Lepisosteus oculatus: one gene and its partners. The protein of the gene in region 4 purifies or fractionates together with the protein of the main gene of each other region. This does not show direct contact. Links are inferred from orthologs where the notes say so. Each region holds a gene or a part of one and is shown on either strand. Other genes may lie near its edges.

Evidence for each region.
Region 1: the proteins of smurf2 (region 4) and smad4b purify together in Homo sapiens (affinity purification with western blotting; 3 studies listed by BioGRID). This does not show direct contact. The link is inferred for Lepisosteus oculatus from reciprocal best matches to the Homo sapiens genes SMURF2 and SMAD4.
Region 2: the proteins of smurf2 (region 4) and tgfbr2b purify together in Homo sapiens (affinity purification with western blotting; 3 studies listed by BioGRID). This does not show direct contact. The link is inferred for Lepisosteus oculatus from reciprocal best matches to the Homo sapiens genes SMURF2 and TGFBR2.
Region 3: the proteins of smurf2 (region 4) and tgfbr1b purify together in Homo sapiens (affinity purification with western blotting; 8 studies listed by BioGRID). This does not show direct contact. The link is inferred for Lepisosteus oculatus from reciprocal best matches to the Homo sapiens genes SMURF2 and TGFBR1.

Annotation. Positions count from the first base shown.
Region 1 is NC_090698.1:14,987,537-14,994,688, forward strand, and holds the start of smad4b (mothers against decapentaplegic homolog 4), read right to left. Parts: upstream 3,014-7,152; 5' UTR 2,828-3,013; intron 1-2,827. UniProt on the Homo sapiens protein: In muscle physiology, plays a central role in the balance between atrophy and hypertrophy. When recruited by MSTN, promotes atrophy response via phosphorylated SMAD2/4.
Region 2 is NC_090705.1:41,081,763-41,089,795, reverse strand, and holds the start of tgfbr2b (TGF-beta receptor type-2), read right to left. Parts: upstream 3,010-8,033; 5' UTR 2,539-3,009; coding exon 2,463-2,538; intron 1-2,462. UniProt on the Homo sapiens protein: Transmembrane serine/threonine kinase forming with the TGF-beta type I serine/threonine kinase receptor, TGFBR1, the non-promiscuous receptor for the TGF-beta cytokines TGFB1, TGFB2 and TGFB3.
Region 3 is NC_090701.1:24,416,542-24,423,681, reverse strand, and holds the start of tgfbr1b (TGF-beta receptor type-1b), read left to right. Parts: upstream 1-4,127; 5' UTR 4,128-4,182; coding exon 4,183-4,252; intron 4,253-7,140. UniProt on the Homo sapiens protein: Transmembrane serine/threonine kinase forming with the TGF-beta type II serine/threonine kinase receptor, TGFBR2, the non-promiscuous receptor for the TGF-beta cytokines TGFB1, TGFB2 and TGFB3.
Region 4 is NC_090704.1:45,615,626-45,623,672, reverse strand, and holds the start of smurf2 (E3 ubiquitin-protein ligase SMURF2), read left to right. Parts: upstream 1-5,036; 5' UTR 5,037-5,580; coding exon 5,581-5,632; intron 5,633-8,047. Other genes in the region: kpna2 (importin subunit alpha-1), read left to right, coding at 1-186, 1,011-1,244, 1,669-1,851, 2,081-2,230, 2,477-2,566. UniProt on the Homo sapiens protein: E3 ubiquitin-protein ligase which accepts ubiquitin from an E2 ubiquitin-conjugating enzyme in the form of a thioester and then directly transfers the ubiquitin to targeted substrates.

The DNA of each region.
Region 1 (7,152 bases), on a different chromosome or scaffold from region 4:
AATGGATCTGAGTAATTCACAAATTACTCGCCTTGTGCTTGAGGTCACAGTGATAAGCTGCACTGACGGAGAATCGACAATTATTAATGCCCTCTACTACTGGAGGTGAACAACCCAACTGGGTATTAATACACAGAGGAAGTCACTGAGTCAAGGATGAATCACTGTGCTTAGCACAGGCCGCCTCATTCTCACTCGTTCACACACAGAGGAGCTGGTAAACAGAAACACGTGGCAGAAGGATATTGCTTAATGCCACAGTTTGACAAAATAAAAAACACAGTTACACTGAAGCAAAAGTAAGATACTCCTCTTCACTAGAAGACCCAAACAGAACTCTGACACACGGAGAGTCAAGTCAGAGTTCCTATGCTCAGCACATGCACATGAGCAGTGCTACAAAAAACCAAAAAGAATGTTTCATAAACCAGGAGCAGTTTTTTTTTCTACATCTTACTGTTCATCTGCTAGAATTGTTACTTTGCCTTGTACTCTATTTCAATAGACTCCAAGTATCACTGTGTTGTCCTATTTAATTGAACTACATAATTACATTTTTGACCATGAAAAACAGAAGGACTGTACATTTTCCATCAGTCACATTGGTTAACACGTCTGCAGCACAATATTCTTTACCACAAAACTCAGAGAAAAAATTCTACTCTAAAAAGTTCTCATTCATTACCAAGGATCAGGAATAGAATTAATGTAACCACAGCGATGACTAAGGAAAATGCTGAAACCATGCCTTGATAGCAAGTACAAAATAAGATCTAAAAACTGTAAAACCATAACAAAAAAAAACATTATACACAACAATTAAATCAATGAAAATAAAAACAGAAATTCCAGGTAGTAACCAGAAGACTGAGTTCACCCGATGTTGACAAATCATGCCACGAAGACCCTGCCCCATTCACATATGCACAAAGATCAAAACTCCAGTTTCCAGCACGCAGATTCTTCCCAAATCTGCCCTTGAAAAAAGATTTACACACCCATCCCACAATTTCTACCCAAGACCTTCCAGTAAGGCTTATAAACAAGCAGTGTGGGCAGATATGCACAGGCAGGGACTGCAGACGTTCAACAAATCCTGCTCTGAGGAGAAATACTGAAGGTTTAACAAAAACAGAAGGATGTACGTCCTACAAAAGCCACCGGACAGCAAGTTACTAAAAAACAAAAACATCATGGGAACACGGGGTGACATTTTAACACTTCCTTTATGATGTAAAGTGTTGGCCAGTAAATTACAGAAAATTGACAAGAATTAACTACTACTACTTAAAAAAAGATGCACTTCACCATTACAGCTGAAGAGTGTTAAATGCAGGCAATGTTAAATGAAGGCAAACGAAGTGGCACGAAATATTCAGCGCCTACTGGCTTATATGCATAAGTCACTGGCTTGTATAACGTGAAAGGGCTCGTAATGCTAGAAAACAGGAGTCATAACGTTGATTCCTAACAGCAGGGCACAGAGAAGCAAGCAGGACTTGCCTGCCCCAAGGAGTCCTCTCCAAAGCTCCCCACTTCGTCCCACTTGAGGCTTGGAAAGTGTGCTGAATTTGTCCTCTTTAAGTAAATGAGCTCAGTGAAGCAACCCTTCAGGTCACTAGACAGGCTTCAAAGCCACTTGGGGGAGAGTGTGGAAACGGGCTGAAATGTCTTGGTGTCTCTTACAAATGATTTGAACCAAGGCTACGACACCTCGTTTGTCACCCAAGGGTTAACACAAAATGAGCTGGGACTCGGAGTCCAAGTGTTGGACGACCCCAGCAGGGCCAGTCATTCGCTCTAGGTTTTTCTGGGACACGCGTAGCGCTATGAAACATCCTGAATTGTACAGCACGTCAAACTTGACCGCCGCCCGGTAGTCCACTACACGATTTGGAAGCACAACAGAGGTACGTCTGGAAAGATGTCACTCTCGGGAAGATCCTGCATTAACTGGGTACCTTTCCCTAAACTGCACCGAACGCGCAATTCAACTGTTAATTAAATAATAAGAGATGATCGATTTTTAACCGACAGCAGTACAGGAACAAGCTTCTGGACCTCGAAGTCTTGGAAACGGTCTGATCCCGCACGTCAAGACAGCACACGAGTGAACGCGGACCACAGCGCTCCGTGCGTGGGAAAAGCTGTACCCAGAGAAACAGCAGCTACGAGAATGCACAATATTACTTCCCCCATTTAAACCGGCTGGCAGGGAAAATACAACCCCTAAACTCGGCAAACGCGAGCGGGGTATCTCCTCGACACCGTGCACACATCCGAAGCCGGGACGCCCGCTTTTCAGGAGCGCAGCTGCAGAGAAAAGCGCAAGTGTGTGGAGCGATCTTACCGACGGAGAGGTGCGTTGAGTCAAACAGATCAAGACGCCACCCTCTTCAATCCCCCCAAAAAAACAACACACTCCCGGAGCTCAACCCCAGCTCTCCAACACCCTGACAGCGAGTCCCGTTTCCCGCAGGGGGCCGTGTGCAGCCGGACGCTATTCGGTGCGACACCCCGCCGCCCCAGCGGGCAGAAGCAGCGCCTCGGCACAGCCCGACCCCGCTACCCCGAAAACACCCCCGAGCCGCCTCGGCTCACAGCAGCGAGGGCCGCGCAACGCAGCCGGCACACGGCGGCCCCTCCACGGACGCTGTTGTGCCTCCAAACCCTTCTCCCTCTCGCCCCGGCCCGCCAGTGCCGAGAACAAAAACACAAACTTTTACTTTCCCCGCCGGCGGAGCGCCCTGCTCTCCTTTCTTCCACCACCCCTCCCCATACTCCTCTTCCCCGCCGGTCTGCGGGCCGCTCCGGCCCAGTCCCTCACCTTTCCAAGGGGAAGCGGGATCCGGTATCACCGGGGGTTTAGGAATCGTCGTGCGCCTTTGAACGGGACGGCGAGCAACAAAATAAAAAAACAAATCCACCCCTCTCACACGGAGCCTCCATCCGACCGCCTCCGCCGCTGGTGCTGCTGTATCAACATGGCGCACGGCGCCTGCGCACTGGGCGGCGGGGAGCGGCCTGGCGTGTGTGCGCAGTTCCAGCGCTGTTTGGCACCATCGGCGCCCACTCAGGACCCAGCAGAAAGGAGATGTGACTTCACGCCGATACCCGGGCCATGGCGCGTAACAGTCGCTCCCTTTCTTGGAGCGAGCTATGGGCAATGTGCAAAAACACACTTAGACACAACATGAGTGGGCACTGCGTGTTATGCGTGCTTCTTACTTCGCGATGTTTCACATACCTTCGTGATGTAAAATATCTAAAAATAAAAACAGCAGGTAAGGATAATTGTCAGAAGTAGATCCTGCATGATAAGCAGCATTCTTGCATAGAGTGCTGACATTCCGCTTTTATTAAATAAATGTGAATCTTTTAGATTTAATCAGATGAGAGAATGTAATTTTATAACTACACAAATTTTAACACTAGGCCTTAGGTTGCGTGATAAATTCTTCTAGTTACAGTGCAGGACTGTCAATTGTTTCTGTTATTTATATTGTAGCACTACATGCAGTCTTGAGCACCTGTATTTAGCCATGCCATCATTTTGTTTTCATCAAAACATTTCTTAAATTGGTTCCTCAAATCTGTCGTCTGCGTGCACCTTTCTCACCCAACACTACCATGACCTCTGATGTTGACTAACCTGACAGTAAGTCATATATAGTGGGCAATGAAATATCAAGGGATTCAGTGCCTCGGATTTGGGGTCTCATTGCTCTCAAGGACTTGCTGAATTCCAGGTTCTTCCCAGGGCCTGGAGATTTTTGTTCGAATCTGAGTAGTCAAAGAAACCACCAACCAAATTATCTTCTAAATTAGACCATTTTAAGAATGTTTCTTGAAGTCTTTAACAGACAAATGCACTGGCATTCACTTCATTAAAGCTCGCCCTCTAGTTTTTTAATGCAAGTCATTACCCCTTCATGTTTTCTGTATTTTTTTGTTTCAATGTTTTTTTCTGTTTAATGAAACTGAAAGCAGCCTTTTCTTGGAAGATCCTAGGGACTAGGATCTAGTTGGCAGTTTGGCCCCTTCAGCAGCAGTGAGATATACTGTAAATGTCATTAAAAGTCCAGCGGTGTTTATTCTTAAGCTTGACTTACAGTTAATGCCTATTCATGCTCCATGTGCCACTGCTGAGCTTGAAGTAAACCACAGGAAGTGACTTTATCAGTACACTTCAAGACCTCAAATACTTGGGTCAATCCCGCCTCTTCTTATCAAGACTGAAGAGACTCTGCTACTTTGATCTGTCAGAGAGAGACATGCTTTCAGTCAGGAACGATCCTAGTCATCACTCTATGAAGTCTTTCCAAGAAGCAGTTACCTTTTTCTGACACGATTACTGCAAAATCGAACACAGTATTCTAAATGTGCTAACATATCATTCACTTTTAACATTCTTTGATTTAAATGTGGATCTTTTCACTGTAAGATTCTGTTGACTACTTAACCCATATTATCAAAAGCAAGTCAGTAATGTGTCAATTTAATAATGTAATCACCCACCCTATATTGAATCCTAAAACTTCATGCTCAGTACCAGCCATGAGTTTTTTTTTCACTGCTGCAAAAAGACACCATGAAAAGTTTAGCTTGCAGTTTAGGCTGTCCAGAGTAGGATCTCCGTCTTTTTGCATATCCTCCTGGTACAATGTTTGCAAACCAGTTGTGAACCTCTGTTTGGCAATTGTATCAGAGATGAGATGATATAAAATGAAATATATAGGTATATATTTGATATATGATAAAAGAATGTTGATGTGTCAAGGTCCAAAATTGCTTTGTGTACTTATGTTGAGTAAGTGAAACAGTACCTTGTTTGGACCATCTAAAAATGGAGCTGAACTACAAAGAAAGGGTGCACATTTTCCAGTTTTTTTTTGCCTAAAAGTCTAACCTTTAGTGACTGGCAATCTAGAGATTTTGCAAGTTACTGCACAGTGCAGAAAATAAGGATTTCTTCCACAATTAGATTTTCTTCTCTCACACCCAAGGCGTTTTCTTTCTTCTCTTTTCAGCATGGAATAAGCCTATTACTTGTTCCTTTCTTCCACAATGCTGCTTTTCACTAAAGCCACATAATGTTTGATATTCTGCCTTCTGTTGCCATATAGTCAGAAGACAAGGGTTTCCTGACTATCAGAGTGTAATAGCATAAAAATGATTCTACTCACTTTACTGAGGTGGCATCTCGAACCCAAGCCAGTCCATTGCCTCGCCCACTAGCCTCCTCCATCGTATCCTGTCTCTCCAGGCATCTACATCAATATCCGCCTTACCGTTATCTTCTTTCACTGAGTCAAGCCAGCTTATTCTTGGTCTTCCTCGTGGCCTCTTTCCCTCAATACCCTCTTCTACTTCGTCTTTTATTAGGTCTTGATCTCATCTCATTACATGGCCATACCACTGTAGTATTGCAAATATTTTGATTCTAAAGGATCTCATAAAATAATAAGACAAAAATGCTGACTTGGCAGTAGTATTTTTTTACAGTAATAACTGAACAAAGAGGAAAACAGTGATTAAAGCATTTAAAGAAAACTGATGCATTTACTAAAGATAGAGAAAAATAAATTAACTTGGTTTTACAGTTCATGTCTTAGGACAAAATGAAAAACTAACATAATTTCATACAGACGGTAACTCCTCATATCTTTACACCAGGTGAGAAAAACAGATATCAAATGTATCTCTTATCATGTACATGCATGTTATGGAAAGAATTCATGTGCAATGTTTTTTTACACATTCTGAAGGAGTATTTCCATAATTCTCATATTTATAGGCCAAATCATGAGGCTTTGAGAAAACTCATGTCAAGGAAATACTGCATGAATGCCTCCCACAAGAGGAATGGAGTGCTTCTTTGTTTTTGAGCTAAGTTCAGTTCCCACTGAAATTCTCACTAAAGCTACCAATAGCGCTGTTACAAAAAGTCTTAAGAGTATTTGGGTCATGCATTTCAAGTTCTTTTCCTTTACAGATTTGTGAGCCATTGATTTTCGAACACAAAAATTTAGATTGTGTCGTTACTTGGTTGCTTGTTGAGAGAAGTGCCTGAGATATTTTAGAAGTTTAAAATATAAAATATAAAATAAAGTTTATTATTATTATTATTATTATAAGACATTTGTACTCATTCTTTTAACTGAATCAGAGCTTGGCTCACAGTTTGAACAGTGTATCTAGGCTAAGAGGCCACTAGGGCAGCAGAGGGGGATTAGGATGCTTTATATACTCAGTTTATGGCTGACTGTTTCAAAGCATATAATTATACTAATCCACCACATCTTCTTGCTGTGTCTCTGGAAGAAGCTCTCATTTTGCCTCAGGCTCTCCCATCTCAGACGCTCATATTGTCTTGGTTGTTTCTGCTGCCGGTGAACAACACCGTGAGTCACTAATGTGGGTGAAGGCTACATGGCATTCCACACTAAAAGGAGCCTTGTTCTCACAAGGGCACCCACTGGCAAAATCCATTTCAAACAGTTTAAGCTAGACCGTTTTTATTTTTAAAGTAAAAAAGGTTTCAAAGCAGGCCCACACACACCACATTGGTTCACCCACATTCATTTCAGCTTTTCACCGCGAAACACCATCGCTTTGCAGTTACACTTCCATTTAACATTAATGGGGGAAGACCTTAACTGTCAGCTTCAAGCTAGATATCGTCTTGAAGACCCTTTGCATTACCAAGGTGAGCTTGGTATTTCATCATAAAGAGAGAAAAGGAGCAGCAGCATTGGACCTGATAAACACGAGCACTGAAGGAACAAGAAAAGTAGCACTTATTAGAACAGATAAGACCCAGTTTAACCTCCACTGATATCAGATTCAGGTTTAGAGTACGATCAATTAAACTTTTATTGCATGAAATAGATCCACTTTTAAATACAAAATAAGTGCCCCATCCCACCATACTAAAATAACCACCCTCAAAATAATTCAGCGGAATCGCATGGTGCTCCCACTCTAGCATCTGTAGGACAGGGTCTGATGAGCCATGCCGACATACCGAGCACTGAGCAAGCCTGCTTTCCAGTGGACAGTGGTGATTGTACTGTCATGTTGTCTCCAAAGAAGGAGCAGGACACCAGGACCTCAGTCACTTTATGGCATCAAACCATTTTCTCTGGCATG
Region 2 (8,033 bases), on a different chromosome or scaffold from region 4:
TCTGAATATCTCAGCAGGAGGGCAGATGTATTGTACACATTGTATGGCTCTGTGAAAACACACAAAGCTAAGATAGGTGTTCCTTTGCCACAGGCCTTCACATGCAGTACATTGCAGATCACGACGTTTCACCGGTTCGCACACTGTAGCTTCCAATAGAACATTTTTTCCCCTCTGCTGTCTAAAGCACTTTATTTACAGAGATTTACTCTTTCATTACTTAACCTTCTTATCACCTTTTGTGAAATAAACATACCACTGCTCTTGAAATTATGTGTTATTGCTTGGATCCTCCGAGGCCTGAGAGGCAAAATATTTTCTCCGTACATGACTGTTTTGCAATCTATACAGCTTTTGACAGGAAATTCCTACACCTCTCATATTTTCAACATTAGGTCATTAGATTATTAGTCCTCTGTAACATACACAGTACTCAGCACTATTAAAACCACATGAGAAGTAATAATGACAGATTTAGTGAAAGAACAATAAATAGAAAATTATATGCAGCAAGAAATATTACTAATCCAATTTGATGCTCATGTTAATTGCAAGCACATTCCAGCTTTAAAAGGATAGGTTTACAGACATGGATATAATAGCAGTTTATCTATCTGGGATCTGTCATCTTTCAAAAGAAACTGACATTTCGTCTCACACAACTCTTTCTGATAAAGCTTGTTTTTCCCCCACACTTTCTCTACTTGCAAACTTACTCCATACCAACACAATTTTCTCCCTCAAAATGCACAAGGTATATCAGAAAAATGCACTGTATTTGCTGACTTCATGTGGTCTATTGCTTTGGCACAGGGGTACACTAGTTCAGCACTGTAGCCCTGGGATCAATTCTGGACCTGGGCTGCTGCCTGAGAGTAGTTTCTGGATGTTCTCCCTGTGTTTAAGTGAGTTTCCTCGGGGTGCTCTTATCCAAAGACATACCAGGAGGTTAACTGGCTTCTGTAAAAAACTGACCCTGGTTTAAGTGTGCGTGTGTTTTTGTCTGTATGTGCCCTGTGATGGACTGGCATCCCATCCAGGGTGTATCCTGCCTTACTCCCTAACTTGCTGGGATAGACTCAGGATCCCAAGTGACCCCGTATTGGATAAAGAGGTTAGAAAATGGATGTATGGACCACTAATGTATAAATGTAAAATTCATTACAAAACCAAACAGGTAAGTGGGACTCTGTCTGCACAGCAAGAATTTATTTGGAAAACTCTGCAACTTCAAGTGGTGTTTTCAATACTGAGAGAGGAAAAAAAAAACTTGTTCCAAGACCGAACTGCGTTGCAGTGTTAGGCCGAGGTGCAAAACATACTTGGCTACCCCCACACAAAATCGCTTCAGGCACTTGTGCAAAAAGTTGCTGCATACTGCACCTATCCTGACGCCACTAAGTTTTACAGTACAGTTTGTTAATCCACGACTGGTGTTTTCACGCTGCCTGTTTTAAGGCGCTTTAAGTGCTCATCATATTTATATAAACAATCGAATAACTGATCACTCACAGTACAAAACAACGGGTTTGCTGTAAAAGAAGAATGTAAAGGAGATAGCTCTTCCTCTGAGACTACACTGACAACCGTATACAGTACATTCATCTACACACACTCCGGAGTAAGGGCCTTCAACTTTAAAACCCAGCAACACCACTTTCATCCGGATATAACTCACTGTATGGCAAAAAAGGAGCACGCTATTCGATATCATATCTAAACTGAACAAATGCAATTAGCGTTTACATGGGAGAGAAATTCCGACAAGTGAAAAAGAAAAACTGAACTTCCCCCAAACAGTTACAGCACTTTCATTACCAGCGGATAACTGGCAAGGTGCTCAGATACATTTCAGAAACACCACCATTTCCCAAATGTACGTTACTATATTTCTGTATATAAGCACAAATCATTAACTGCTACAGCAGATAAAGAAATCTACAATGTGCAATACAGTTTCCGTATGGGCAAAAAAAAAACATGGTAGTATTAACCTTGAAGATTGATAGTCTGGTGGCTGCAAGATCATTTTGAAAAGAAAAAGAAAGATACAGTACGTAGTACTCCAACACACGTTTACAGGTATAACAACAGAAGACACCCCCAAAATATGATTTCTCATTTTTGGGGGGGTCGTCTGCCCTTTCACAGTTCAACCACCTGTGGCGCATATCCGTACGCATTGCTGTTAGTTTTTAACCTCAAAAAACTTTTCAGCCTTCAAAAGCAAAAGACATAAGGAAATAACGCGTATACTGTACTTCTGCAACAACGAGCCCCCTGCGATAGAAGAAACGTTTTATTTATTTATTTGCTGCTTTCTCAAACAGACCCGGCAGCTTGTGGACAACAATTAAAAAAAAAACGAACTCGACTGGACTGGCTAAAATATATTTTTTTATAAAAAGGGGTAAAGAAATTGGTGAAGTTCAAGGGTGAATAAAACCTTCAACAAGACTCACCCGTCCGGCCGAAGAGCACAGAGCTGGCGAACAGGGTAGTGCTCCACAGCACGACTGATAAACGAAGTCGGTTCATTTAGACAAACACCGATACCTTTCCTTGACTTTTCATTAAAATGTTTCTTTTTTGCTCTCTCTTCCCTTGCCCTTCAAAAGCGGAGAGGAAATGTTCCCCCCGTCCTCCCAATTGAAGGTTTCAACGTTGTGCGCTTCTGTTGCAAAGTGGGGAAAGAAAAGTCGAAGAAAACAACTCTTCTTTTTTTTTTTGGAGAAAAAAAATGTTGGTCTCAAACTCTGTGCGCCTGCCTTCAGCTATGAAAATACTCTAAACCCCGGGTTATGAGTCAGAGAGTGACTGTATTCACTTCTTTCGCGAAACAGGAAATCTTTGAGAGAAGGGCAGGACTAATTTTTTTTTTCTCCCGAAGCTGTCAGTCCCTTAGAAGTTGTAGTTTACTCTCCTTCAAGTCGAGGCAAGCGCCTAATGACACGCTTAAGACAGATACACACAAAACATCGGTTTCCAAAGGACGCATTTCTAGACGGACGGTATGCTCCAATTTAAAAGAAAATTAAGCACATAAAAATCACATTGATTTTTTTTTTAAAACGGTGCGCTTAAGGCAGTGCCCTACAGGGAAACAACTTTTCAGCTATTGCAGTTTTAACTTGTTTAACGTCCTCCGTACAAGTAATAGGTGTCTCCCGATGAGTCCTGTGGTTAGTTACCAGAGATCTTCCTCACAGGACTTAAAAACAAGGTTAAAATCCCAGGGCAGGTTGGGGTTTTCATATATTCTTCGAATATTTTTCTGTTAAGTAGCAGTTTATCTGCAAGATAGTGGTGAAAATGCACTTCCTGGGGGAGGTGGAGACATGTAATTAAGGTATTTTTTATTTTACTTGTTATTATCTCACGTGTTGTCGGTAAAAAGAGCGACACTGCGTTTCACCTTGGAATTAGGGATATACACACAATGTTTTTTGTCTGGACAAAAGTTTCTGAGTGGAGGCAAAGTTCCTGAAAACCTAAACAAAATGATTAAAAAGACATGTGGCGTGTTAAGAGCACTACTGACAACCGTTTGAAGCCTATGGGAAAAGTATTGTTCACTCAAGTCCCTTGAAATGCGAGTCTTTTTTGACTCACACTCATCCTACAGGAATGCTCTCTGATACATTTTAAAATCTAAACGGAAAAACAAAAGGAGATTGTTTATAAACAACAATGGGGAACAAAGTGGCATCTAGAATATTCACATATTGGCGAAAAAAATGGAAACTGATTTCCCTCTGCTCATTAAATGCATAGCAATGAAGGATGGGATCATTTTTACAGACACACAGGATTGAAAAATTATTTTGGGGGTTTATACACTTGTATATAAATGGTTAGCATGCTTTTGTGATGCTTTCCTCCTGTTGAACATAACCACTTTTAGTACGTATGAGGGTGTCTTAATACTTTATCGCTGAATGGAGGGATCATTTTTAGTAACTCTATAGAAAAGGAAGTCAAAACCACTGTAAAATAATAAGAAATGTATGCAAGACATTTACTGTAATACTACAGTACATGATAGCAGAAGAGTCGGTGGATTCTTTCACACATACTGTATCACATAATCTGATTTTATGGGAAAAGATTGAATTCCTGTGTGTAGCTCAACATTTTTAAATGCTTATTAATTGCTACAGTATGAAGAGGTTCTATGTTTAAGTACGGTCCTTTGTACTAAGAGATACCTACCTCCTTAATTTCAATCTGTGTCTACTTCACTCTGTGCTTCAAAGTAATCATCTGTTTTGGTATTTGTCAACCTCTTTGGAACAGCTCATTCAATTCTGCCTGGCCCCATGTTCCCTTTTTTACAGCCCTTGCTGAATACACCCATATTTTGGTTTTCAGTTAATTCCAGGATATTAGAATTTATTGTTAAAGGACAGTCACAACACATGGTACCTAATGAAAGTGAAGAGGGCCTTCACAGCGTGCATTTGGAACAGAAACACTACTGATTGCTTAGAAAGATGAAGCAATCCTTTCTTTTCGTCTGCAGGATAGCTCCAACAGCACACCCAAACATTAACAGTAGCCCGTCCTTGCTGCACGGCCAAGACAAATGAACATATTTCATGTGCTGGTTTTTATACTGTCAGTTTTAAGACCTGAATTCTTTCATCCATTCTGCAAAGCAGGCTCTAGCAGAACTGTGTCAGAATGAGAACAGGGTGCTGCAAAGGGTGTCTTCAGCTAAAGCAAATAGCAGGGGTCCTGTGAAAGCAATGAGATTTATTCATCTTTGTGTTTTGATGTACAGTACATCCCTATTACACTGTGCATTTTCCTTGTGTTAGCACGTGATGTTTATTTTTAAAACCGGGAACGGCGGACAAAAATATATTATGCTGCTTTTACGGCTAAGTGTGGTTCTCCCTCTGCAACGCTGCAATTAAACTAGCTGCCAAGACGATGTATATTATTTTATCCTCAAATGTTTACTGTACGTTCGCCGTTTCCGGGATACCGACGTAACAAGTTTTGACAACTCTAGGTAACACAAAGGTCCAGTGTGTCTGAGAAGCAAGTTCAGACAGAGCTACTTCTTGTTCTTCTCATCTCAGTTAAAGCCATGCTGGAGATTTTTTTTTACTGTGCTGGTAGTTGCACGTGTTTAATAACATTCTTTTGCTTGCCATGTGACGAAGGCCTATTAGTCTCCTATAGTGTTTTAAAGAGTTTAATATCATTACTGTATGAAAGTAAGGTAGGCATTATCAGTACACACATACTGTACATATCCACTCCTATGCAGCCTATACATATCTAAAAAATATACAGATAACAGTATGATGCATTATGAAAAGATTCACGTTTTGTAAGGCTACAATTTGATGATTTTTAAACTTCATATTTTTAACCCCCTTGTATATGTTCCAAAACCTTTTCAAAGAAAAGCATTTAAACAATGTGTGGAATCCTGAAACAGTTTTGCACACGATTGTGGGTGCTTGTTATTCAGCAGGATAATAAGCCAGATCAGACTAGAAGGCTAATATCTGTCCATTAAATTAATCCATATAAAGTAAACCCATTGAATGAGGAATTCACAGTAATATTTTAATAGCCTGAAGAGTAAACACTGCTGGTGGGCGGGGTGGCCTTTCCGATACTGCCAAATTTCCCACTTTCATGAAAAAAGGAAGCTACTCTCACAGCAAAGCTCATTTAAGTCATTTACAGCTCATTCAAAATGTGACCTTTGTGAAGTCCCCCTGCCAGAAAAGTCTAGTAGTAAAATACAGTACGTCTACTGTAAAAGTTAGTTGGTTACTGTTTGACTCAACCAAAATTATTTTGTGGGCAAAAAAATTTAATATAATCTTAATAATAGGTTAATTCTTGTTTTGCAGATTCTTGTTTTTGCACGTTCACTGTGTGTGAAGTGGTTATGATTGTAGTGTTTCAGTCGTCCATTATATGGTTTACTGACATAGTATAGAATAATTGATAAAAGAATGGATTCTGAATCAATGCACTCTGGAATTCTGTGTATCCATATACGTAAACACCCCACACATTGGACTAGAGTTATTACCTGTCCTTCCCGTAAGGAGACTCTGGATCATCTTCGTGCCTTCAGTCTGAAAGAGAAAAGGGTGGATGTTTATACGAAACCACATCAGGTGCTTAGAAATATATTAACAGAAAATGAGCAGTAGTCACCACTTACAAAGTAGGAATTATTCTCAAGTATAGAAGGTTGTCAGACGTCGCACTGAGAGCCTACACAAGTTTCCCTCTGACAGGCATGAGTGAGTTAAAGGACCCTTGTTGGATTGTCCCGTCCTTGTCCTCCACCCAGCAGGGACCAACTGGGAAGTACTTTCAGGACAGTGGGCTACAGGTGCAGAATGTGTTTTGAGACATCCCAGAAGTGGTGGGCCTGTGGCTAAGGATCTGTGCCTGCTGCTGGAAGGTTGCTGGTTCAAATCCTGTGGCCGGCAGAGGAATCCTTCTCTGTTGGGCCCCTGAGCAAGGCTCTTACCCCCAACTGCTCCAGGGGTGCTGTATAAATGGCTGTCCCTGTGCTCTGACCCCAAGCTTCTCTCTCCCTGTCTGTGTGTCTCACAGAGAGCAAGGTGGGGTATGTGAAAAGACAAATTCCTTATGCAAGAAATTGTATATGGCTTATAGTAATCTTATCTTATCTACAGTAAGTGTTCAAGAAGGATGGGATTAAAGTGTATTTGAAGGCCAGCTCTCCATTGTGATTTTTATGCCCCTGTTGTTATACATGTATTATACTATGTGAAGATTCCTTGATTTTAAATTATGTGCTTTAAAGTAAATAGGGTAAAGTTGCTAACATATTGTGCCCCTTTATGTAGAACTGGTATTTCAATTGGAGCAATTTGGAGAAGTACCTGTCGTGCACTGCCTAACAAGGCTTGGAACCCAAATCCATCCAGTAAGGAGTCCAGAATCTTAATCGCTTCTCCAGTGCAATTCTGTGTTACAGTACTACACTGTCAGCTGGCACACCAGTTTGCCTTTTCAATGGATTCCCCATGTTTTTTAGACCCGGATGATGCTACTAACGCCTTTTTTTATCTGTGGCACCAGTGCTAGGCTACATGATCATAGCTTTCTATGCCACTGCATCATCAATACCACAAATGATACGTAAGCAGAACACAGCTCAAAAATACTGAAGCCCAGGTGCTTTTTACATGCTCATGTTACAGATTATGTGGAGGAATTTTCCAAACATATTGGAAAGTCCCTTGGCAGCCAAGCAGACCGCTACTAAGACTATAAGAACATGTAATAGGAAACAAGAAAGAAAAACCTACAGCCTTGGAAATATATACAGTATAATGTATGCAATAACACTTGCATATTTCACTTCAAATAAACAAGTAATTATGAAACATTTCAAAGAACAAGAGGCTGTTTATAGACATCCTCTTTTTGTTGTATCTAGCAATAGCAACTTACTCCCACACACCTGCACTGAGTTCATCTGATCCGAGCTCCCTGTGACTCATTAGTTTATGAAGCTTGTGGAGATGTATAGACTGTGGAATGAGCAAAAGGAGTGACATACCAGCAGGCTTAAGTCATAGAACCAGGGAGCCTTTCAGTTGTTCTGAGGTTTAGCTCAGGCATCAGTAGGGTAGTTCAAAGTGGAGCTTCAACACAAATGGTACACAGCTTCCTGCAAATAATGTTCTGCTTGCACAAAAGCATATGATATGGAAGTTATTAAGCGAAGTTCGGGAGGGATAACACGGACAAGTCAGTCTCATGCAGCTGTACCTAATCGCAATCATTATGAAATTAGCCATGTATACTAATCTTGAATGCCTCCCTTCGTATTCATCTCAAGCCTGCCTGTTCCAGACCATTTCCACCTCACAGCAGCTCCTGGGTCACTCCTTCTGAAAGGGCTCTGAGCCTCCTCGTCCTGTGGCCAGCAGGCGGCCAATTAGGCCATTAACCTAGCACGTTAAGCCAAACTTACTGTATCTCACCAAGTAGTCCAAGCATTCACAAAGCATACAGCC
Region 3 (7,140 bases), on a different chromosome or scaffold from region 4:
ATTTTATGAAGAGTCTCAGTGGAGAACTTGTGCCACAAGACACGAGCCTGCTCTCATGAGGGGAAGAGAAAACAATTGATGCAGTCTTTGAGAGGAGAGCTGCAAAACAAGCGTATTGACCAGATGATGGCAAAGCCCGAGGTCCTACTGAGCACTGAAGAGAAGAAAAAGGCTAAGAGAAGAGTGATCCAGATAGGACCTGAGGGGAAGAACTCCCTGGCTGTGGATTGGGATATAACCCAGAATAAGAGTAAGAAGAAAATGGTGGATTTGAATGCTGCTTCAAGAGTGCAGTAAGCGGACTAATGTGCTAAAAGAGAAACGTGAGGCCCTGCGGCCTAAACAGCAGCAAGAATACTGAAAACATAGATGGCTGTTTGCTGTCTGTTCTGTACCTTACATTGAGTGTGAGATGAAGTAACTGAAGGGATAAGGGCAACTCTGAGCGGTAACGACAACCTCCAGGAGAGACCAGAAAAAGCCAGGCAAGAGATGACTTCCCTCACCAAACTCCAGACTAGACTGAAGGACAGGGAGCCTGGGATAGAAAGCCTTCAAGCCCAAATCAGACAGGCAACTGCTGGTCTTTGTCAAACAGGTGCATGATCTTGAGACCAAGCTGGAGGATGAGTGGAAGCAGAGAGACATGGCAGCTGTCGCAGGGAAAAAGCTGGAGGGAGACTTCAAAGAAGTCAAGTGTCACATAAAGACTGCAAATCATGATCAGGACAAGGCTATCAAAACAGGTGCACAAGCTCCAGGCCCAGATGAAGGACTTCCAAAGGGAGATGGGAGATGCCCGCATTGTCGGGGAGAAAGTGCTGACCGCAGTCAAGGAGAGCGAGGAGAAGGCCAAGAGCCTAGAGGCTGAGCTAATGCAGTTACAGGAGGACCTGACAGCAGCAGAGCAAGCATGCAAGCAGATTGAGGCTGACAAGTAAAAACAGGCTGGAGAGCTGGCCAGCAACATTTTGGGAAACTCAGCACTGGCAGATGTGAAGTGGCATTTGGAAGCCAAAGCCTCCAATGGAGGAACTGTAAGAGAAGCAGAGCAGCATGGCAAGGAGAAAGGCTGAGCAGCATGCATAACAGCTAAACAATGAGCTGGAAAAGAGGAGGCCCTAAACCTTTTTCACAAAACTAACAACAGAAGCAGGTGTGGTGGGCAAAGATGGATGACTTTCAGAGCCAGATTGAAACGGCCAAATTAGAAAATGAGAAGCCAAGGGTGCAGTTAGCATTAATGCAGCAGCAACTAAGTAAATCATAGCAATAGATGAAGGACAGAGAAGCAGTGGAGATTTGAAGGGAGGTTACAGTCTTACCCGAATCAAGCCAGAGTAGAGCCGAAGACCACTCAGGAGTAACTGATCCAGGAGAGGGAGAGAGTCAAGATACCGCAGGGACATTTACAAGCCACATGAATGAATGGGCAAGTATGAGGAAAAAGACAAGCCTTTTTCAGAGAATTGCCAGTCCAAGACAGAGGGTGTCACCCATTGGACAAAGAAGCTACTAAGTTTCAGAGGTGAGGGAGAAGGAGCTCTCATCACCAGTGCTAGAGATTGATACGGAGGTCTCTTTGGGTGGAACGTTCAGAAGTACATGTAGATGTCCTGTGTCCTGATGATGACTGTGAGAGAACAAGTGAAAGTGGCTTGAACCTGAGGACAGGCAGCCAAATAAAGCAGAAGACGTGGAACTTCCAGATCGTCCAACAGAGAAAGAAACAGAGTTGCTAGAGAACCATAGACCTGCGCTAGAAGAGAGGGAGAGGTCGCCTGACCGACAACTAATTGAAATGGAAGAACAACGGTTGCAACCCCCAATGAAAGGGGTATTGAAGACTTTTGAGTACCCGGATGGGAGAGTACATGTGGAGCTACCAAGAGAGATGGCTGCCTCTTGAAGAACAAGAGCTGGAAAACCATAGGGTACATGATCCAGGGGAAAGAAAGTATGTCCCTCCCACCCTCCCCATTCACTTCAAAATCCAGGGGGATGTAGCCTTGGAATTGGCTGGTAATCTGTCGTCCAATGGCCTTCCTTATGAGGAGGGAGCATATGGGGTCCTCCTGTTGGGACCACATGAGCTGCTGCTCTCCATCACCTAGCCAGTTGCTGAAAAACAATTGGTCAGGTGACTGTTTAAAAAGCACGAAGAAGAAGCTTCCTGGGTCAGTTAGACAGGGATGTCTGCCGTCTGAAGGCCAGAAGGCAGATCCTCTGTGAGCTATTGACAGGAGGGAGAAAGACAGGCCATGGACTCAAGGAACTAGTGAGTTCTAAGAGTATTGTCAACATTCTTTATGAAATGAAATCCTTAAATGGTAAAGAGTCTCAGAGAGACTTTTCTAATTTGGCAATTTTATGAAGAGTCTCAGTGAGACTGTTTTAACATTTTTTTGTTTGAGGCTCTTAAGCAGTTTAACTCCTTGGCTTGGGTAATTAGGGACACTGAGAAGAAGTTTAGAAAGAAGCTCAAAAAAGTGCTTAGGCTTTTGTTTTGTTGTTTTTGATTTTCCCTACATCATGAAATAAAGCTCACTGGTGTCTTGTACCTTACAGCTGTGTCTGTTTGCCTTGACCCACCTGCTTGTTAAGATTCTGTTATGACACCCAACAGCTTGTCGCCAATTTTAATCAATCAATTTAATTAATCAAACAGAAAATATTTTAATCTCAGTTCTGACCTTATCTTTGAACTTGGATTTAAATTTCAGAGGCATACATAGTAATGCTGACAATACACCTGTTAATGCACATTAAAGATAGAACATATCTTTGGCAGATCATAAAAGAGGTCACTTCAATTGGCACTGGCAACATGGTTTAAATAAAAGACTTTTAAAAAGTTTGTACATGTAGTCATAAAGACAACAGCAGGCGTTAAATGTGTATCTTTTATAAAGAATCTGCATGAAATTGCAGACTCAAGTCCCTGTAAGACGAAACCGTGTGTTTTTAATTAGTTTTTGGGTCACTACTTCTACCACAATGCCTACGTAAGAAATGTTTGCAATCTGGTTTACAAGTCTACAAGTTAGGCACCTACAGTATGTTTGACAAAGCAGAGTATTCTGATTACTTGGTCTCAATATCTTGGACTGTAGGCCTTCCCTGGTGAGTCAGAATCGCTCATCTTCTTTTTGGCCAAATAACAAAACGGCTACAGCACAGTGTCAACGGTGTAACTACTACTGCTAAATCAAACAACGTGAATTTAAAGGATACACGCGATCATACAGAACTTTTATAAACGAGGAATAATGGTCTGGTAGAGGACGTCTCTAATGGGAATTTATTCCTTTCACTAAATGGATAATCGCATCCTCTTTACAATTAAGCAGATATGGATGAAGAAGTAATTTCAGCACTTCTGTTTACCAGATACAGACATCGTTTTTTTGCAGCAGTATATTTAATAAATAAGTCAGGTCTAGTTTACTGGTAAAGATTAAGTGATTACTCTTACGGGACTCAAATATTTTGCCAACCTGCGTTTCTAAGTGAATAAAACCGGAGAGCAAATTACATTTTTGAAAGTGTACATTTTAACTGGAAGACCTATCTGACCCCTATCCGTTTTAATGATATACGTTATTAATTCCTTTACTGACTGTTAAGAAAACGTCATTACTTGAGAGGGAATGTTTTTCTTTTACGATTTTGCTGTGCACTTTCACGGTAGAAGCAGTGAAGGAGTAAACAGTGGAACGGGGCTCAGAGAGCTGTACGGTGAATCATGAGGCCAGCTGGGGGAACCATGACCAAGCACAGTGACATGCATGATATAGAGAGAATACGTGCAAAATGCTATGCTTATCTAAGGAAGTAAATTCTCATAAGATATTAGACCTAAGTGCGTAGCCTGCTTAATCAAAAATAAAACAGTAATTCTGAACAATGTACAGCCTACGTTTCCCAGACAGGTTTAACGTTCATGTTGCTTAGCTGTAGCCCGAATTAATATAATGCCTATATCACTTGTCCGCGCCCTAGCACACTGCGCTAGGCGCTCGCAGCCGAGTGTTGACTTGCGGCTCCGCTATGTGTGTTGGCTGGTAAGAGCTGGGCGGGGTGCGGCGTCCTTGCCAGCCAATCAGGGACGCGATTTCCCCCAGCCAAGACAGCCGAAGTTGTGTGCGAGAGACGGCCAGTCTGGAGTAAATCTGAAACACAATGGATGCAGTTCGTTGTTGTTTAACATTCGTAGTCCTGCTCTTAGGGACTGGAGTACAGGAGACCGAAGGTAAGCGAGAGAGGGGGTGTGGTGCTCCTTTTTAAAAATCCTCAATTTGGATATTTCTTTTCTTCGGATTGAGTCTGGCGCGGGGTTCTCATGCCCGCTGTTGCTCTTTTGTTTCAAGACTCGTCTGCCCCGAAAGACTCTTGTCAAAGATGGCGCAGGTCAGAGAGAGCCGCGCTGTCAGGAATGTGTATTGTTAAGAGTGATTTCCTGACAAGGTAGAAAAAAAAATCAGGAGGGAAAGAGATCGAAAAGTCAGTAGCACGCCTGACGGGCCTGAGTAGAAAGCTACACGGCAAAGCGAGATTCACAGTGGCAAATTCATGTGCAGTCCGATGTGGAGTAGCGGTGAATTGATATTCCCTGGTCGGCAAATGTCCTGAGCTGGAGTCGAGTCGCTGTGTTTGTACTTCTCGGCCTTAATGATAATAGGTCTCTCGACACGTCGGACACTGACCCTGTCCACCGATGGGGCACAGCCAAGGCCTTCTCGCTTCCACAGTCCGGCATTTTTTTCTACTTTGATTGCAAGGAAAAACGCACTATTTACGTGTGTACATATTAGCATATGGTAAATGATTGTTTAGAAGCAGGGTTCTTTTTGAGAAATGCATATTTTGACTCTTTGAAATGCAGCTGAACTCATAAACACGTTGCCTGAACCCAGGCTTATTTACAATTGACATGCTACTGGTTAGCTGTTTTCTGTTGTCTTGTAGCTAACTGTGTAGTTGAATGTTTTGTGACAGGAGTTAGGAGATAAAAGAAACGCCTAATCCGTGCCTTTTGAAGTATCGGGTTTCGGGGTGCCTTGTCATTAACGAAATGTAAAATAAACCTTCTTTGTTTACGTTTCACCTTAAACACCTTGACGTAAAAGGTATATTGTTAGCACGAATCGAACTGTGGTTTGAAAGACCTAAAAAAGGACGGGTGTTGCTGTTGTGATATTTCGGTGTCACCAGCGTGTGATGGGAACAGACACAAAGACTTTGATGTTGTCACGACAGGCTTGCCCTGTAAACCACTGTAGTGCTATTGTTATTAATTGTAATAATCTCTGTGAACGAAAGAAACGGGAAAATATAACCTGTAGGCCTGCACGCCTTTTAAGGTGTCGCTCATGGAATAATTGTCTGGAGAAACAAACCACATGTGCTATGTCCCAGATTTTCAAGTGAACAGAAAGCAGTTTTTGTTTTACCGCAAACGTGTGTTTAGACGCGTCGTGCCACTGGTCTTTGATGTGCTTCAGATATGACTCCAGTGGTGGTAAAAAGTTCCTGCTCCCTTTTGATAACAGCTTTGGTTTTAATTGGGGGCTGCTTGCTGTCACCTGTGGTAATGGAAGAGAATTAAAACATTGAGATGCGTTGCGGGATTCTTTCTAATGGAATTGGGGCTTGTGACCGGTGAAACAGGATTTCCTTGCACAGTCGATGCGCGGATGAAATTAAGCTATCAGATTTGCATGACAATGTGCCGAAATCGACGCCCCGAAGCTCATAGCACAGCAGCTGAAGGAATAGTGTACTGAAATGAAATCTGAGCGTTTTAAAACTGTTTTGCAGAAACCAGTTGTGTTGTACAGTGTTTTCTTAGAATTAATTTCTCCAGATTTTTTCGTGTGGAGTTGAGTTATCAAACCTTGTAGTCCGATCCCTATAAATTTATCTCCAGTTTTTGAAGTGTTCAAGAGTAGTGAAGAATTATTTGTTATAACAGGTTGGTGCAGTGTTAAGCCCTATTATTTATGTGGTTTAGACAGACTTTAGGCCATTTTGCTTTTTGAAAACGTTTTTTGAAAATACCCTTAGCTATTACTGAAGAAGTCATTAATTTATCGGTATACATAACTTAACCTGCCTCTGTCCATATCGCCTATATTTGATATGTTGTGCACATACAAGATTTCAAGCCACTGGAGTTCTACAATTTAAGTCTTGTATGGCACCAGGCCTTCAGGTTCTATAGCTGTGTTTGACTATTGAAGAACAATCCCAGTTTGGTGAAATTTGACCAGATTAGACAATATATATTTTTTGTTTTTACCTTATAGCTCTCCTGGACCAGGGTGGGAAGTTCAGGTTCTAAATCACTAGTTACAGTGCAACAGTGGTTATTACCATTTAAGCTCTTTAATTGAGCCAGTTGAATTATTAAAGACATGGATAAACACAGACGTTAACCCAGTGGATCTTCAAGACTAGGACTAGCTACTGTTCTGCTGGAGCTTTGCAAGGATTTACGTAGGACTGTTTCCCAGTTCTCGTTCTGTTTGATGTCATTGACCGAGTACCTTTTCGTTTTTCTTAAAGAGTGGCTAGACGGTTACATACACACTTTGGCAGTGTGTTTATTTGTCTTCCATTTCCAGCTTGCTGGTGTTCAGTAGTGAGAGTAAAACTCGGGTTTCAGTCAAGTTGACATATGATGCTGCTTTAGCAAATAAAGTAATACGTGAGTCATAAGCATCTGTAGACTGTTCTGTTTGCATGAAAATGAAAATAAAAAAATAAAATCTAAATATAGTTAAAAGAGTAATTATTCATGTTCTCATGGAGTTGAGTGGGGAGTGGGGGGGAAGGAAGGTTAAAACCGTTACTGGTTTTGCAAGCTTGTTTTGTACGTGGTAAATACAGTAGCTCAGCCTTTTGGCTAGTAGAATCCAGAGCATTCAAAGATTTGTATGACCCTGAACTGCCTGTTGTCCAAGCTTAAGGAACCAAAACTAATTTGAAAAGTTGTATATATGCCAGTTGTAATTGGATTCAAAGGCATTGATGCATTCAAACAGCCCTGCTTCAGTCAGATTGAGAACTGGGCTGTGAATCTGGCTTGTTAAAGTTAATACACAGTTTAGTTTCCTTGAGGGATTAGATTTTGCTTCA
Region 4 (8,047 bases):
GTGCAGCAGCTGCTGCCCACGCTGGTGCGCCTGCTGCACCATGACGACCGGGAGGTGCTGGCCGACACCTGCTGGGCCGTGTCCTACCTGACCGATGGGCCCAACGACCGGATCGAGGTGGTGGTGCGGACCGGGCTGGTGTCCCGCCTGGTCCAGCTGCTCGGCTCCGGAGAGCTTCCGATTGTGGTACGTCTCGTCTTCGTTCGTCCCCCACGGACTCGGGACGGCTTGTATTCCTTTAGACCAGTGGTTCTCAAAGGCCTGTGGTCCGCGGACCACTTACACTAAGTCACAGATGCAGTGGACCATGTATGCCTATGTCCCCTTCTTACCCTGTAAAAATCACCTAGGAATGTACAAAAAATAACCAATTACTTTTTATGAAAAGTACAAATTTTTACAAACAAAGCTGTATATTTTGCAAGTGGTTATTACAGTTAATGTGGGGAAAAACTGAGCTGCTTTTCTTGAGCAATCGGAATGGCTGGTGAAACCCCTTGAACCTCCTACTATAGCTTGCAGTTCTTAACAGTGCTCCTAGGGGGAGCCCCTTTGTAGTGGACACTACACCATTCTTTCCTCCGACTTTAAGAGCTTAGGCTTGCTTTAAGAGATTAGGTCAGCTCCCGAACCACTGGTGGTCTGCGGACCACACTTTGAAAGCCATTGCTTTAGACTGTGGGCCTTGTTAAAAACAACTGTCATCTCAAGGGCACAGGGCAACACAGTGGGTTTAAAGATGGCTCCTCCTGTTTTTAAGTTTTGGGGTTTTTTTTTTGCATTTAAGGTTCTTGCAGATTTATGTGAATGTCCTTGCGACTGCTGTAAAGACAACTGAACTGTTCTGGTAGCTTGTGTTCTTGATCTCTTGTGGTGGTATTACAGGGGTTAACTGGTGCATGCATCTTGCACAGTGGTTGGTAAATGTACCGATGGGGATCTGTCCCTTGCTTACTTGGTAACTGAAGGTCTGCTTGAATTGTAAAGCTTATCTACCCCCTTCCCTCCAGACTCCCTCACTGAGGTCAATCGGCAATATAGTGACCGGCACGGATGAGCAGACCCAGATAGTGCTGGACTCCGGAGCTCTGGCCATGTTCCCAGCCCTGCTGAGGCACCACAAGAGCAACATCCAGAAAGAGGCCGCCTGGACCCTGTCTAACATCACCGCCGGGCGCGACACCCAGATCCAGGAGGTTGTGAACGCCGGGCTGATCCCGTACCTGGTGGAGGTGCTCCAGAAGGTGGGTCGGTGCTGCCCCTCCCTGTGTTGGGGCTTCCCTCTTGAGGTCCAGTTGTCTGGGTTCTGTTGTAGCTACTCTGACCTGTTCACCTGCTCAGCTGTTTGTACCAAGAACCATGGACCCAGCACCAGATTAGAATGACTAGATTGCTTTCTTGAACAAAACTAGCCAAAGTTTTGCCCCAAGTCATCCAAGAGTGCCCTTGCCCCAAGTCATTCAAGAGTAAGCTGGTGTTCTGGGGTTCTTTGTTGGCTCTGAAGGAGATTATATTTTGGGGGGGTTAACAGCTTTGGCCAAAAGCTCTGCTAAATCTTGAAATGCAAAACCTTTGTCCACAACTATAGGGCAGTCTTTTTTTTTTACTTTTTAGGTATCATTTTAAAATGTAAATCTGCGTTTTTCTTATCCTGTTTACCCCACCCAGGGTGACTACAAGGCGCAGAAGGAGGCTGTCTGGGCTATAACCAACTACACCAGCGGGGGGACAGTGGAACAGGTGGTGTACCTGGTTCAGTCCAACGTGCTGGAGCCCCTGCTGAACCTTCTGTCCACCAAGGACAGCAAAACTCTCCTTGTGATCCTGGATGCCATCTCGAACATCTTCCTGGTACGTGCTGAGCTTTGGACCTGCCTCTGAAGTGGTACGACTGATGTCCCCTGATCTTGATTTGTTTAGTGATGTGCATGTGGGGAGTAGTGCAAGCCAGGTGGTCACCAAGGGGCAGATTGCGATCTTTGCTCATGCTTGGCGATGGTGTTGAGTGCTGCTCCCATTGCTCTTTGGTGCCCCCTGTTACTGCCACTCTTAACCAGCGGTGTGTGGGCTTGTCCTGAAGGCTGGCGAGAAGCTGGGGGAGGTGGAGAAGCTGGCCGTGATGATCGAGGAGTATGGAGGCCTGGATAAGATTGAAGCCCTGCAGTCCCATGAGAACGAGATGGTCTACAAGGCTGCCCTACACCTGATCGATAAATACTTCTCTGGAGAGGTGAGCATAATATACAAGTTTTGGGTTTTTTTGGGGGGGGTCTGGTGGAATTTATACTACTGGTGTTTGAAATGCGATGCTTGTCTGAAGAGGTGCCAGTTGCACAAGCCTTGTGGGCTGGTGTGGCTCGACTTGTGACGACGAGCTCGAGGTTCACTGGGAGAATGAGAGGTGCCTTGTTCACTACTTCAGAACATGCATGGGTCAGACCAGCTTGTACTCATCTCTCTCTCTCCTCTGCCACAGGAAGAGGAAGACCAGTGTGTTGTTCCTGAAGCTACGACTGATGGTTATGCCTTCCAGGTCCAAGATGCTGAAAGCACTTTCAACTTCTAGAGTTTTTTTTATGCTGTCTGTCTTTTTTATATGTGTAGCAGTGTTTTCCATGATGTATATAACAGGTTACTGATGTGACTGTCAAACCTTTATTGTATGAAATGTAAATAAAGTTTATTAGATACGTCTTTCAAAAGTGTCTATCAATGCAGCTTAGAAGGACTGATGTTTCCACTCGTCTGCAATCTGTGCCTTTGATCTTCACAATGAAGCTGCACCCTGAGCTCTTGGCTCTGAAGTCCACAAGGGACAAGTTCTGGTTTCTGCTGAAGTCCTTCATTATCCCTGAAGGATAACACTTCACGGTTGATGGTGATTTCTGGACGGGTAAATTGAATGAGACTAAATGCATCCAGTTTCATGTTTGTGAGCTATTTTGACAACCTGGATTAAGGAACAGGTAAACGTTTATTCCATAATGAAAACGTCTTGGCTGTGGAGCCTTCTGGTTCTCTTGCGGTCTACACATCTGCCTACTCGAACCACAGTTGAGGGGTTTTTCCAATGGTTAGTCTATGCACAGGGAAGCGGTTTCTGTAGGATATCTGAAAGATCCAGGGGAATTCTTGCACCAGACTACTGTAAATTGTCTGCTCAGAACTCTGGTTTTGTATGAAAAGCAAGGCTGGGCCTGGCCTGGCCTCTCTTACTCTAAATGTTTTTTGGAGATCAATACGTGCTCTCCTGTCTGCCCTGGAATTTCTGAAGTAGTACCCCAGTTTGAGCAGGGACTGCTGTGTTAGTCCCTTCAGTGAGTTTTAACCTGGTCACCGAAAGGCCCAGGGTGCTGTTAAGAGCTACAGGGTGTGAACTGGTGTTTTGATTGTATGGTGCCTGCTAGCCTTCGTCTCCCCTTAATTTAACTGGTGAAGTGCCTGCCTGCCCTGTTGTGTAGCTGGGCTGCCACTGGAGCAAGGATGACACACCTGGAGGTGTTGCTGCACTTCACTGATGGAGAAAATGGGTCTCCAAGGTGTTGAATACAAGGAACTGGACCCGACCGGACTGAGGTGTGCTTGCAGGGGGAGCTGGAGGCAGGATTCCTGAAATCAGTTTAAGGGAACAGGACGTCCCACATGCGGTAGAGAGGTTGGAGTGAGCAGGTAGCAGTTAACTCTACGACGTGTGGCATTTCTTCAGCCTTAGGGTGTCCACGGAAACGTTTTTTTTTCCTTCAGTGTTTCAGCGTGTTATTGATGTTTGCTCCTGTACACTACATTTTAAGAGACATATCCTGTTGGTGTTGCAAACCAAGTTCTTTTTTTCCCCCTCTTGTTATGGTCAGCCGTATGAGCAACTGATTTCTAGTGGTGAGCGGTTGAAGAAGGCTAAGACATCTCCCCAGATCCTCCCTGACTTTTACAGATGCACTACAGAAAGCCCCACTGACAGGTTGCTTCACAGTGTGGTATGGCAACTGCAGTATTGCTGACCACAAAGCCCTACAGTGGGTGGTGAAAACTGCCCAGTCCATCACTGGGGTTGCTCTCCCATCCATACAGGACATTTATGACAGACGGTGCTTGAGGAAAGCTCTAACATTATCAAAGACCCCACACACTCCAGCTACAGACTGTTTGACCCTCTACCATCTGGAAAACAGTACCGGAGCATTCGGACCGGACTACCAACCTCAGAGACAGTTTTTACCCCCGCACTATCAAACTATTAAACTCCCAGCCACTCTCACCTACAATCTGAACCCTCACAGTGCCTTCCCTCTTCATCAAATCCCAAACACACATTGAAATCTACCTCTACCTCACGTCAAGAAGTTCACTCCCCATAATTTCCTATCCTTTATTTCATTCTGTTGATGTATGATTTTGCACACCTGTTGGTGTTTTGCACACTGCCTGTTGTCTCTGTCTTTCTTTTCTCATACAATTGTATTGTTGTTGTTTTTTGTACTACTTACCGACTGAGAGCTAGCTAAATAGCATCTCGTTATATCATATACCAGTGGTAGTAGTTCAGGTGGGTAGTTCAGGTGGGTACAGTTCACCTGAAGAAGGCTCCACGGCCGAAACGTTGTGTTCTCTTTCTTCTTTTTTTCAGCATGGAATAAACCTATTACTTGTTCATATACCAGTGTACGAGTATAATGACAATAAACTTGAACTTGATGCTATTGAACATCACGGAACTTCTGGATTGGATGGAAGATGATTGTGCAGCTACACAATTGAAGTTAACCGCGAATGCAGCTACACCAGCGTGCGCCATCACCGATACGTGTGCATCGTGTAGGATGACGGGGAGCCCGATGCAGGGGGCTGCGGGACGTTCGTTTTCGGCTTATTTTAAAAAGAAAAATCGCGTTTGCACAGTCGCGGGACCCGATGCACGTCTCTGTAATTTCGCAAGAGCTGCCGGCGTCTGTCTGGAGAGGTCAGCAGAGAGCCGTCTTGCGGAGGAGGAGAGCCGTCTGGGGGAGCTGACTGGGAAGAGCTTTTTTTTTATTTTTTTTTCTTCCCAGCGTCTTGCGCGGACGCGCACACACTCCATTTCCACTCTCACTCCAAAACCGATCCCGGTGGGAAAGAGTGCAGAGTGCCGCCGACGTCCTAGTGCGTCCGTCTTTCCCGGAGATGTAGGAAGAGAAAAGTGCGCTCGAACGTGGCTCGCCTTTTTTATTATTATTATTATTATTATTGCTGCTGCTTTTATTCTGCAAACAGGACGCGGCGGCATTGGGGGGGGTGAACCTGTGTCTTTCGGGGGAGGCAGGGAACATTTCGCGAGGACGCCGCGCGCGAGAGGGGGTGCATTCCTGTCCGCGTGAGAGTGGGGGGCGCGCGTGTCGGCGCTGGTGAAATAATGGTAGCGCGACGCACATCCGGGCCACCGGGCCGTGACTCCATTATTCAGCCACTGTGAAGCTGGCGAGCAAGAGAGGAGAGGAGAGGAGGAGGGAGGTTGGAGGGGGGTGGCGGAGGGGAGGAAAAAAAAAAGAGAGATACTTTGTAAATATTTTCTAGCGTCGCAACTCAAGCTGGAAAGCGGCGAAGGACATGTCTAACCAGGGGGTGAGGAGGAACGGCCCCGTGAAACTGCGTTTGACAGGTAGGTGGCCCCCCCCGTTTTTTTTTTTTAGAGGAAAAATAAATGGCAAGAAAACAAGAAGGTCGGGAGCGCCTGGGCTCTGCGCCCCTGTCCCCAGCCTGGACGTGTCCGTGTGAAAGGGGGAGTTTTGCGTTCCTGTGTTGTGGGCGAAACGGAGCCGACCGTGTGCTGTCCGCCGTGGCCCAGGGGCTCAAGTTGCCCACTGAGCGCTGAGACACGGCGGCTCTTGCAGGGGAGGAGGGCGGCGGTGAGCTGCCCTGGAGAGTGCTAGCCGTTGTCGTGTGCCTGGTCGTGACTGTTGCTGCTCCTGCTTTGAAATAAACCCGGGGAACCCGTCCGGACCCGAGCGGTGTGCGCCGTGCGCCAGCAAGTTTGTTCGCCCGGGTACTCTGCCTTTTTAATCATCGAATCGTGTGACGCGCTTCGGGGTTTTTTTTTGCATTAAAAACGTCCAGAATGGAGCCCTGTTTTTTAAAAAATGTTTTATATGCAGTTTTGTAAATAGCCGAGGAAGGAGGGAAGTGCATTTGTTGTCCGGCTAATTTGTGTTGAAACCGATCGGTTCTAAAACTGAAGAGAGCCCTAGGTGTAAGAATTGTTTTGCTTGAAAGTAATTCCTGGAGAACAGCTTTTTTAATTACATTTCTGGAAGTGTGGTCTGTTCCTATTTTTTTTGGGAGGGGGGGGGGGAATCTTCTCTGGATTAAAAAAAACTTAAAGTTGTTAAGTTTTAAGGTTTCGCTCTTGCGTGGCCTTAGAAGTCAAATAGAAACTGAAAAAATATAAGCTTAAACTTGATAACGACTTTTTAAAAAATACTGTTTGTTTCCGTCCGCACGTCGTGCTTTGTTTAAAGAAAATTAACGACGATTAAACGCTTCCTAAATAACATCGTTTAAGATGTGGAGGTGTTTGCCCTCATCGTTTTTCCAATGTTATTTTTTTTTAAATTAAGAAAGTTCAGTTAAGTTCAAAGGTTTTAATGCAGTTTTCTGAAACGCTTATTTGTAGTAGTTCGTTCCTACTGCTAGTATGCAGAGTAGAACTATCCCTGTTCACCCTCGGAGATCAGCTTTTAAAACAAATAACTTTATGGATGGGTGGCTTCTATGTATCTTTGAGAAGTTTGTAGGTGCTGGAGATGGAGACTGATGTTTCTGGTCCCGTTTCGCAATGGTTCCATAATATCTACGTGTTTCAGTGGTTGTTAGGGGGGTGTGGTTATTACAGACGAAATGTGTTACTGATGTCCCAGTTTAATATGCCATTACCGCTGATTTAATGTCTTCAAGCGAAGCAATCCGGGCTTCAAACACAGCTGAGTTTGAAAAGTATTCACGTCGTGCTCATTTCGAAAACATCTGTTTGCTTTTGAACAAGGACGTCTTCTTGTGAAGACGCAAAGTGAGGCGGTCTCGGCGACTCCGAAGTCAATAAGAAACGTTGCCTGCAAATTCCTAATAGTTTCTCTAAATTCTCTAAACTCTAAAAAAAAAAAACAGTTTACCGACAGTACCATGTTTTGCCAAATAAGTACAAAAAACAGTATCGACAAAACGAAAGTGTTAGATTTTGTCGTACTTTGGAAGTACTTTTTTCTCTTTTTAAATAAACTGAAACGTCTGTACGTTGTAACGATTTTTTTAAAAGAAGTGTATATACGCGCTTGGCTTAGTCGAGTCGGGATAAAGACAGAAAAAGTTTATTCTGGTAGATCTGTTGCAAGACGAACTTCAGCAGACTCGTCTGTGGAGGTCTCTCCCAGGCATGAGGCTGGTCGCTGTGAATTGTCTACTTGATTCAGTTATTTTTGTTTTTCCAAAGGGGACCAGTGTTTCCTTAGCTACCGCTTTAGTTCGACGGTTTATTAATAGAATATAGTTTTCGATTTTTCGATGCCAAAGAAGGTATTGCACAAGGTTACGAACGTGAAAAAAAAAACATTCTTGATCCCTGACGTAAGGGAGGCCGAGTTTTAAAATGAGTTCCATGCGCTCCAGAGATCCTCTGCTTCAGAAGGACTATTTCATTTTACATTTTCGTGTAAACGGGTAGGCGATAGAGCGTGATTGTTTTATTGCTGAATGATATCGGGAGTGAACGGTTGATTTATTTGGGGGTGGGTTTAGGTCCTCTTGGCTTTCTTGGCCGGGACGTGTTCCGGGGTGGTTCTGCTGATGGACTGGTAAGACTCTGACATGGCCTCTAGGGCAGGGAGGACAAGCCCAGAGGTCACCTGCTTGTCTGGGGGTCCTGCAGCGTGGTTGTTTCCTGCGGACCCCCTCGCTTCTGGAGGAAGCGATCCCAAGGGGATCTCATGGCCCGCAGCGAAGGAGCTCTGGGTGCTGGGAAGGGGAGGAGTCTTCCCTTTGGAAACCAGCATGATTCCATTTCAGCCCTGGTTAGCCAGCCGGG